Macaca mulatta: one gene and its partner. The protein of the gene in region 1 interacts with the protein of each later gene in a biochemical or structural test. Links are inferred from orthologs where the notes say so. Each region holds a gene or a part of one and is shown on either strand. Other genes may lie near its edges.

Region 1 (3,971 bases):
GGCTAGAAAGCTGGTGTGATCATAGCTCACTGTAACCTCCAACTCCCGGGCTCAAGGGATCCTCCTGCCTTGGCTCCTGGGTAGCTGGGACTTCAGGCCTATACGATTTCTAACTGTGGTGTGAAGAGATCCCCTCCCCTGGCTCTGTGAGGCCTGGGGCTGGGCTTTTCCAGGAGTAGGAAAGGGTGAGTTTGGTGCCTGATGCCTGCAAAGCAGCCTGGCCTCAGGTGATGCCAAAGCAAAAGCTTGGGACCTGGGGCAGACAGACTCTGGTTTGTATCTGGAGGTTAACTGGGCAGCTGTGGTGCACTGGAATGAAAGGAGAGGGAGAGTGGGACTCCTGAGGCCCTGCTGTGGGATGAGGGTGAGAGAATGGCAGGAAGGTGGACAGGAAGCACAGACCCTCAACCCCCTGGGACTTGGTGCCCAGGCTGGCACACAAAAAAAAGTAGGGGAACTCGCTTTTTCCAACCTGTGACTGACAGAGCAGTGTCTCCACCCTTGGAAGCTGCTCAGGGGCCACCTGCATGTTGGTACAGTGGGCAAGGAGGGGCTGCCCGTTACCCCCAGATAGCCAGTGGGTCTGGGAGGGACTGAGTCTGTGCTGTGGTCATAAGCACTCGAAAGACAGAGGCCACAGCTTCATTCTTGAAAGAATCTGTTTATTTTGAGATTAAAAGAGTCTCATCCCCCTGCATATCCCGCAAATACTAAATTTGATCTTTTTAATTTTAGAAAAGGGTCAACAAACTTCAGCTGGAGTATGATCTCTCTTTCAAACTCCCATTCTGGTTTAAGGAGCCACAAAGGGTAACCCTTGACAAAAATGTGGCTATGTTTGCACATGTGTGTGCCTATATGTGTGCATGTGTGTAATACATACATGTGCATAATTTATACAATGTTTGCTGTTGTATCCATAAGCCCCCTATGGACAATTTTCCTTTTTGTACTCTGCTGTACACGTGTGGAGCGAAAGTTTAGCAAATACATAATTTGGTATAAATCCCATACAATGTGATTTCACAACCAGAAGCCTGACCACTGAGATATTACTGAATTTTTAAAAGTGATAAACAAGATTTTTATGTGCAAACAAACAGGGCTTGTGCTCCAGCTGCGTCCAAATTTACTTGACAAAGCTATAAACACAAGGCCCTTTCTGAAGTCCTGCTGATTGAGTTTCCCCTTCCTTTTGTCGGTGGAGAGGAATGTAAAGGCTAAGCTGGTGCACTTGCACTATGCGCCTCTGGGCTTTCTGGCTGCGACACTTAAAGGAACTCATTCATTCTCCGGATGGGGCAACGCTCCTCACCCAGCGTCCTCCGAGGGCTTTCCCACACGGAGACCTTCCCGAACTCAGAGACATCTGATCTTGGCTTGCCCAAGCTGGCCGAGGCCTCAGGGACTCAGGAGCCTGTGGAATGTGCTGAGAGCCTGAGGTCTCCGGTGGGGAAAGGGCAGGGGTTACAGCCCCCCTCCTGCTCTACCTCAACTGCTTCCCAACCCAGGGCCTCTAGTGTAATTCCATCTGAGACCCGGGGATGGCAGGAAGGCCCGGCTCTACTTTGTTTGACCCAGCTCAGAACGGGATCCTCCACCCCTGCTCCTGGAAACTGATGGAGGAGGCCAGCGGAGGCCCTGCCCGGCCTGATACCACTGTCTTCCCTGGGCCTGTGAAATCAGCAGTTGGGGGATGGGGTATTCAGATAACTCTGCTCCGGAGAACCAGAGAACCCTGGAGCCACCCCTAGGCGGGTAACTTCTCAGCACTTCTTAGCAGCAAGGAGTCAAGGAGTTCAGGGGAGAGCTCCATCTGTCTTCTAGGTCCTTGGAGAACTAGAGGCTGATGGCAGAGGGGTCAGGCTGCAACCTGGGACCAGCCAGCTTTGCATGTGTGACTGTCATTCCACAGGAATTACCTTCTCTTGCGTGTGCAAGCCTCCAGCCGGCCCAGCTCCTCGTAGGACTGGTAGAAAATGTCAAACTCCCTGGCGCCCCAGCCCCTCCAGACAGCCAGGCACCACTCTGTGTTTTCGTTTTCAAAGCTGCACACAACAGTGTCCTTTGCCACCACAGCAGCATCCACCAACACCCTGCAGAGAGAAGGGGTCTGAGGAAACTCACAGGGTCCCCACTTGGGTGGGGTTGGGACCCTCACCCTGGGCCTTCTGAGGAAGGCAGAGCTGGCTAAGGGGAGGGGAGTATGTCTGCTTGCCAGCCCTCTCTGGGGTGTGCTCAGATGCACCACTTCTCCCCGGTGGCCCAGCCTGCGGGCTTAGGCTTTATAAAGTCCAAACATGGGCTGTGGGCATGAGTTCACTTCCATGGGCTTTGTCTGTAAGAGTCCGACTCCCTGGAAAGCCACAGAAGCAATCAGATCAGGCATCCGTGACTTAACTTCAAAGCGTCCAGAAAACACCAATGAACCAAATTTCTGCTTGTGAATGGCTCATGACCGAGTTTAACTCAACTCCCTTGCCACTAAGCTCAATAGGATTCTTCTCTCATTCTGTTTCTACATGCTTAGGAAATACAGGCTCATATATTAAATGGAAAACCTACTGCCCCAAAGTCATCACTATATACATTTTTTGAAACTGTGGACAGTTCTGCAGGATTGGTGGGTGCGCTACAAGTTTCCTTTTGGGCCGCAGTGCAGCCTCCCTGCCCTGCTGCTGCCCCACCCCGAGCACATACTAACTGCCTTCCTTTCCTCCCTCTGTGCCCCGTGTGTGCAGCCTGCGTGGCACTGAGGTGCTCCTGCAAACTGGGATGTCCAGGGACCTCTGACTCCGCATGGCCTTGCCAGGGCCTCCCCTTAGGCTGACCGCTGGGGCCTCTTTCTCCCTATAGCGAGAAAGAGGTAAAATCTGGCTTTAGGGGATGGATAGGAAAAACAACAACAACTAAACATTAGGACACTAACGGCAGGTATGCCAAGGTCCCAACCTGGGTGCTGCACACCCATTTCCTCCAGAAGGCCAACCTGCAAGCTGGGAACTCCGTCAGTTCAAGGCTTCCAGCCACAGACTCTGGCAGAGCTCGGGAGCAGATCCAGATCTTGCTTCCAGAACCACTAACAGAGCAAGGCTCACTGGCCCGGGATTCACTGCCAAAGTTCAAAGCTGGCAGGCAAGGGAGTGAGACTGCCATGGATGCCTCCTTGGTCATTGTCCTGCTCTGGGAGAAACAAGCTGAGTGGGGTTTCTCCACCCTCTTATGAAATAAAAACCCACTTGCCCAGGGATGGGGGATAACTCACGCTACAGGAAAACAGGCCTAGTGTGAAGTGGAAGAGCTCCAAAGTACACACACACACACACACACACACACACACACACACACACAATTTGAATTGAGGACTTTTCATAAGGGAGATTTACCATGTGGGGCTCGGTAGTCAAAGTGAGGGGTGTAAACACTGTGGGGAGCTGCAGCTGGTACCAGCCTCATATCACTCCAGCCATGTAGACCATGTTCGGGATAGGCCACCCTGCCCAGCATACCCTCGCAGAGGAGACTGGCATAATCCTGGGGGGACTCACCCACAGACAGTTACTGAACCATGCCTCAGCCCAGGAAGGGCAGGAGCTGAGACCCCAGGCTTGGAGATGACAAGGTGTGCCTATGTCATGTGTCCCCATAGGGTGCTGTGTGGGCAGGTGGACACCTCGGGTAGGGTTTCCTGCTTGGCAGGAAGAACAGTGAATCAATCACCTGGATGCATCTGCATGTCAACTGCAGCTGAATTCTGGCCCTGGAGGCATTCGTTAGGTAGGGTACTTGATCTACAGGTGCACTGGGTACTCCAGAAACAGGGAGCCATGGCCAGTGTGGAGCCCCTTGGAGCTGTCTGCGGGGCCCCATCTTGTTTCCACTTTGCCTTATAGCCAAGTTGGTGGATACACTATTTGGGAGAATGGAGGGGCAGCAAAGCCACTGTGCAAGACCTGGCTATGGGGCCTTCT
Region 2 (3,645 bases), on another chromosome or scaffold:
GTCTCATTGGACCATTCCATGTGGTTCCACACCCCCTTCCGAGCTGACCACTGGATGCTCTATGAGTGCGAGAGCCCCTGGGCTGGTGAGTGTGGGGCCGTGTGGGACAAGGGCACTGACCTTGGGTGGCAGATGCTGACTTCCCCTGACTTCCTGTGTGGCACTGCACAGGTCACTTCCTTTCCTTCCCTCCTAGGCTTTCGCATCTTCATCTTCAAAATGAGAGGGTGAGGCTGGGACACCTGCTCTGCTCTAAATTGCTAGAATGTGCTGGGAATGTGATTCACCTTCTCCCAGGGACCCAGTTCTAGTCCCAGAACCAGTTCAGATTCTTTTTATTACAATAGGCAAATCGTGTCTTCCGTCTGAGCCTGTTTCCTCATCTAAACAAAGAGGGTTACATTACAGCAATGGTATCCAAACCCGGCAGCCCATCAGACTGCCATTTGGGGACGCCTTTTCAAAATAGATTCTGATTCCACCCTCAAGATTCTGACTCAGTAGGTCTTGGATAAGGTCCAGGAAACTGTATGTTTAAGTTCTCTAAGTGACTCTGATTAACCTGATTGGGGTTGGAGCATTCAGTGGTCCCTAAGGGCCTCACGGCTTGGACATTCCTTGCAGGGGAGATAGAGAAACAAGACTCATTCATCAATGTCTAGCTTCAGAACCCTGACCTCCTTTCCAAGGGAGTACATTTCAAATGAAGAAAGGCTTTGCTCGATAAACCAAGGGAAAAACTTAAGGACTCGTTATACTCAGATAAGGGGTACTCTCACGTACCAATAGCATCCCAATCCAAGATTGATAACCTTGAAGTGAGGATGTGGGTTCAGATTTGGCCTCATGATGGAACCAAATTCCTGACCCTCTCTGGATTTCAGTCCTGGTCTGGAAAACTGCACAACACATAACTGCTTCCTTTGGCTACTGTGAGAACTGAGTGAGCTCTGCTATGTGTAAGGGAAACCAGCCATCATCCTCATAAACATCAGACTCAGGCCCAAAGCCAGCAAGGGAGCAAGAATCTCCAGGTGGGGAGGGAAGAGGCCAGACCTCGTGGCTTTAATTCCTCTGCTGAGCCCCTTCTTCCCCTTGGTGGTGGTAGTGGGGATATTTTTCAGGAATCACCACTTGGAGGATCTGGCTTGATTTATTATACAGGGAGCCAATAGGTTTCCTAACACGAGTGGCCAGAGGGATAGCAGTTCTGCTTGGCCAAGCAGTTGAAGGAGACTGTTCTGAGAGCTCCTCCCTCCGTGATCTTTTTGAGGAAGCGAGCAGAGGTGTGAAAGTGCTTTTAAACTATCAAGTGGGGTTCCTGTGGGAGGAGTTACCCCTCAATGATGGTCCATAATAAGATCAAGAAGGGGCATTTGGAGCAGCCATGACACTCAGCACACCCTTGTGTGGGGCAGCCCTGCCCTGGGCCAGACCCTTTTCAAGAAGTCCACTTGGAGGTCGGGCGTGGTGCTGTGCTAAGCCTGTAATCCCAGCTGCTCAGGAGGCTGAGGTGGGAGGATCCCTTGAACCCAGGAGCTTGAGACCAGCCTGGGCAACATAGACTCTGTTTCAGAAAAAAAGAAGTGCATTTGGCTGTTCTGAAGCAGGCCATCCTCACCTTTCACCTCACCCACAGGTGGCTCTCGGGGGCTGGTCCATGGGCGGCTGTGGCGTCAGGATGGAGTCCTAGCTGTGACCTGTGCCCAGGAGGGCGTGATCCGTGTGAAGCCCCAGGTCTCAGAGAGCAAGCTGTAGCCAGAGGTACCAGCTTGGCCTGGGGCTTCAAGAACCTCCCATCTATCCCCATTCCTGAGACAGCAGTTACAGTCCCTTTTGGCCCTCACATCCAATAAAGAGACTGATACCACTGGAGTGGCTGGCCTTTAATTCCCCTGGGCCAGACCTTGCCTTCATCCCTCAACTCCAGGACTCCAGGGCAGAGTCCCTGGCCTTCAGAGGAGGCCTCGCCAGCTTGGGGGCCCACCAACAAGGGAACATTGCCCCTGACCTGTGCCACAGCCCCTTGGCTGTTTATAAGCTGGAGAGGCTGTGTCAGACTTCTTCCCTGTACTATACCAGGGCAACCTCAGCCAAAGCTCATCCTGAGCCCAGCTCAACAGAAGTTTCCTTGATCTGCTTCACATTCTCTTTTGGAACTTCTAGGTGCTCCCAGCTATTCTGTCCTCATTGGGTCCTTCCCCTGCATTCTGGGGCAGCCTCTCTCCTCACAGTGGCCTTAAACCTAGGCAAGGGTTAGTCCAGCACCTCCTTGATGAGCAGTTCTTTGAGACTAGGGGGTGGCGTGGGGGTAAGGCCTGCCTCCTGCAGGGCTTGGAGCCGAGCCTCTGATTGACGTTTGTCCAGGCCCAGGCGCCAGGAGAGTCGAACATGGGCCTCCAGAAAGGGTGCCAGCAAAGGGTGGAGGCTCTTGTCCCCAAGCAGCTGCAGGGCCTTCTCACAGCATGCCCGGGCCTCCCCAGGGTCTTCCAGCTCCTGGTGGCACACGGCCAGCCCAGCCAGGGTCAGCAGGGGGCGGTCTGGGCCAGAGGGGGTGCCCAGCTGGGCTTGCAGCTGCCAGGCAGTGGCCCAGAGTGCCAGAGCCTCACGATAGAGGCCAGTACAGGTGAGGCTCTGTGCCCGCCGCAGCTCTGGCAGCACGAAGAAGTCCTGCAGGTCTGGGGCATGGCGCAGCTCAGGCACTGCCTGCAGGTGACCCAAAAACTGCTCAAAGGCCCGGCTACGGCGGGCAATGGTCTCTGCAGTAAAATTCCGGCGCAGCCGCTTACGGGGGAAGGAGATGGCAGCCATTGGGCCCCGGAATTGCCGCTGCAGGTTTCGGTGCAGCCGCTCAAAGTCCGAGTAACGGCGAGAGATCTGGGCTGGCTGGCAATCTGGCGGCCCTGGGCCTATCACGGCGAGGGTGTAGAGCTGCAGGGAGGGTGGGTGTCAGGGCAAATGCAAGTTGTCCATGGGCCCGTTCCCTCCCCATCCCTCCCCATCCCCCACACTCCCAGCTGTGCCTCCCCACCTCTTCCTTTCACCCCTGGGATAGCACCCAGGAGGGCGGGAGCTGCTGCCACAGTGGCGGGGAAGCCCAGTCCCATCTTACCTGAGGTTTGTCTGAAATGACCCAGGCCCAAGGCAGCAAGAAGAGAGAAAGACAGAGATGAGCTTCAGTGCCCGGGGCTGCTGCCCCTTTTTTTGTACTCCCTTCCCATAGAGCAGTTAGTTCTTCTGACAGCCCCCGCTGGAAAACCAGACAAGAGCTGAAACCCAGGCCAATCTCTTGGGTCTCCTTTAGGAACAGCACGGAGCTTGTTCCACTTTGGACACCTGGCCTCCACATCCCCGGTCAGAATTTTCCAAACTAGACCCAGAGGACAGGTCTGTAGATAGCCACAATTGCCATAACTGTGAAAAGTATACTGGCCTAGGACTCAAGTTCTAACCTAAGGTCAGCTACTCCTTCCCTGTGTGACCTCAGGCAAGGCCATCACCTCTGGGTCCACTTCTGTTTCTAGTGAAGGAAGTGCTCGGTGAAGTCAGTGTTTGTCCAAAAATGAGACATGTACAAGTATTGGTACCTGAGGTTTTTAGGTGGTGTGCACTAGAGTAAATATCACTGCATCAGAATCAGGAGGT

Evidence for each region. The genes of interacting proteins can lie anywhere in the genome.
Region 2: the proteins of LRRK1 (region 1) and SNX21 form a complex in vitro, tested with the Homo sapiens proteins (2 studies listed by BioGRID and IntAct, with this or other methods). The link is inferred for Macaca mulatta from reciprocal best matches to the Homo sapiens genes LRRK1 and SNX21.

Annotation. Positions count from the first base shown.
Region 1 is NC_133412.1:91,436,805-91,440,775, reverse strand, and holds the end of LRRK1 (leucine-rich repeat serine/threonine-protein kinase 1), read right to left. Parts: intron 2,097-3,971; coding exon 1,919-2,096; 3' UTR 646-1,918; downstream 1-645.
Region 2 is NC_133415.1:98,631,723-98,635,367, reverse strand, and holds the end of SNX21 (sorting nexin-21), read right to left. Parts: intron 3,490-3,645; exon of another isoform or gene 3,350-3,489; coding exon of another isoform or gene 3,113-3,349; intron 2,932-3,112; coding exon 2,257-2,931; 3' UTR 1,759-2,256; coding exon of another isoform or gene 1,640-1,758; 3' UTR 319-1,639; downstream 1-318. Other genes in the region: ACOT8 (acyl-coenzyme A thioesterase 8), read left to right, coding at 1-85, 1,640-1,758. UniProt on the Homo sapiens protein: Binds to membranes enriched in phosphatidylinositol 3-phosphate (PtdIns(P3)) and phosphatidylinositol 4,5-bisphosphate. May be involved in several stages of intracellular trafficking.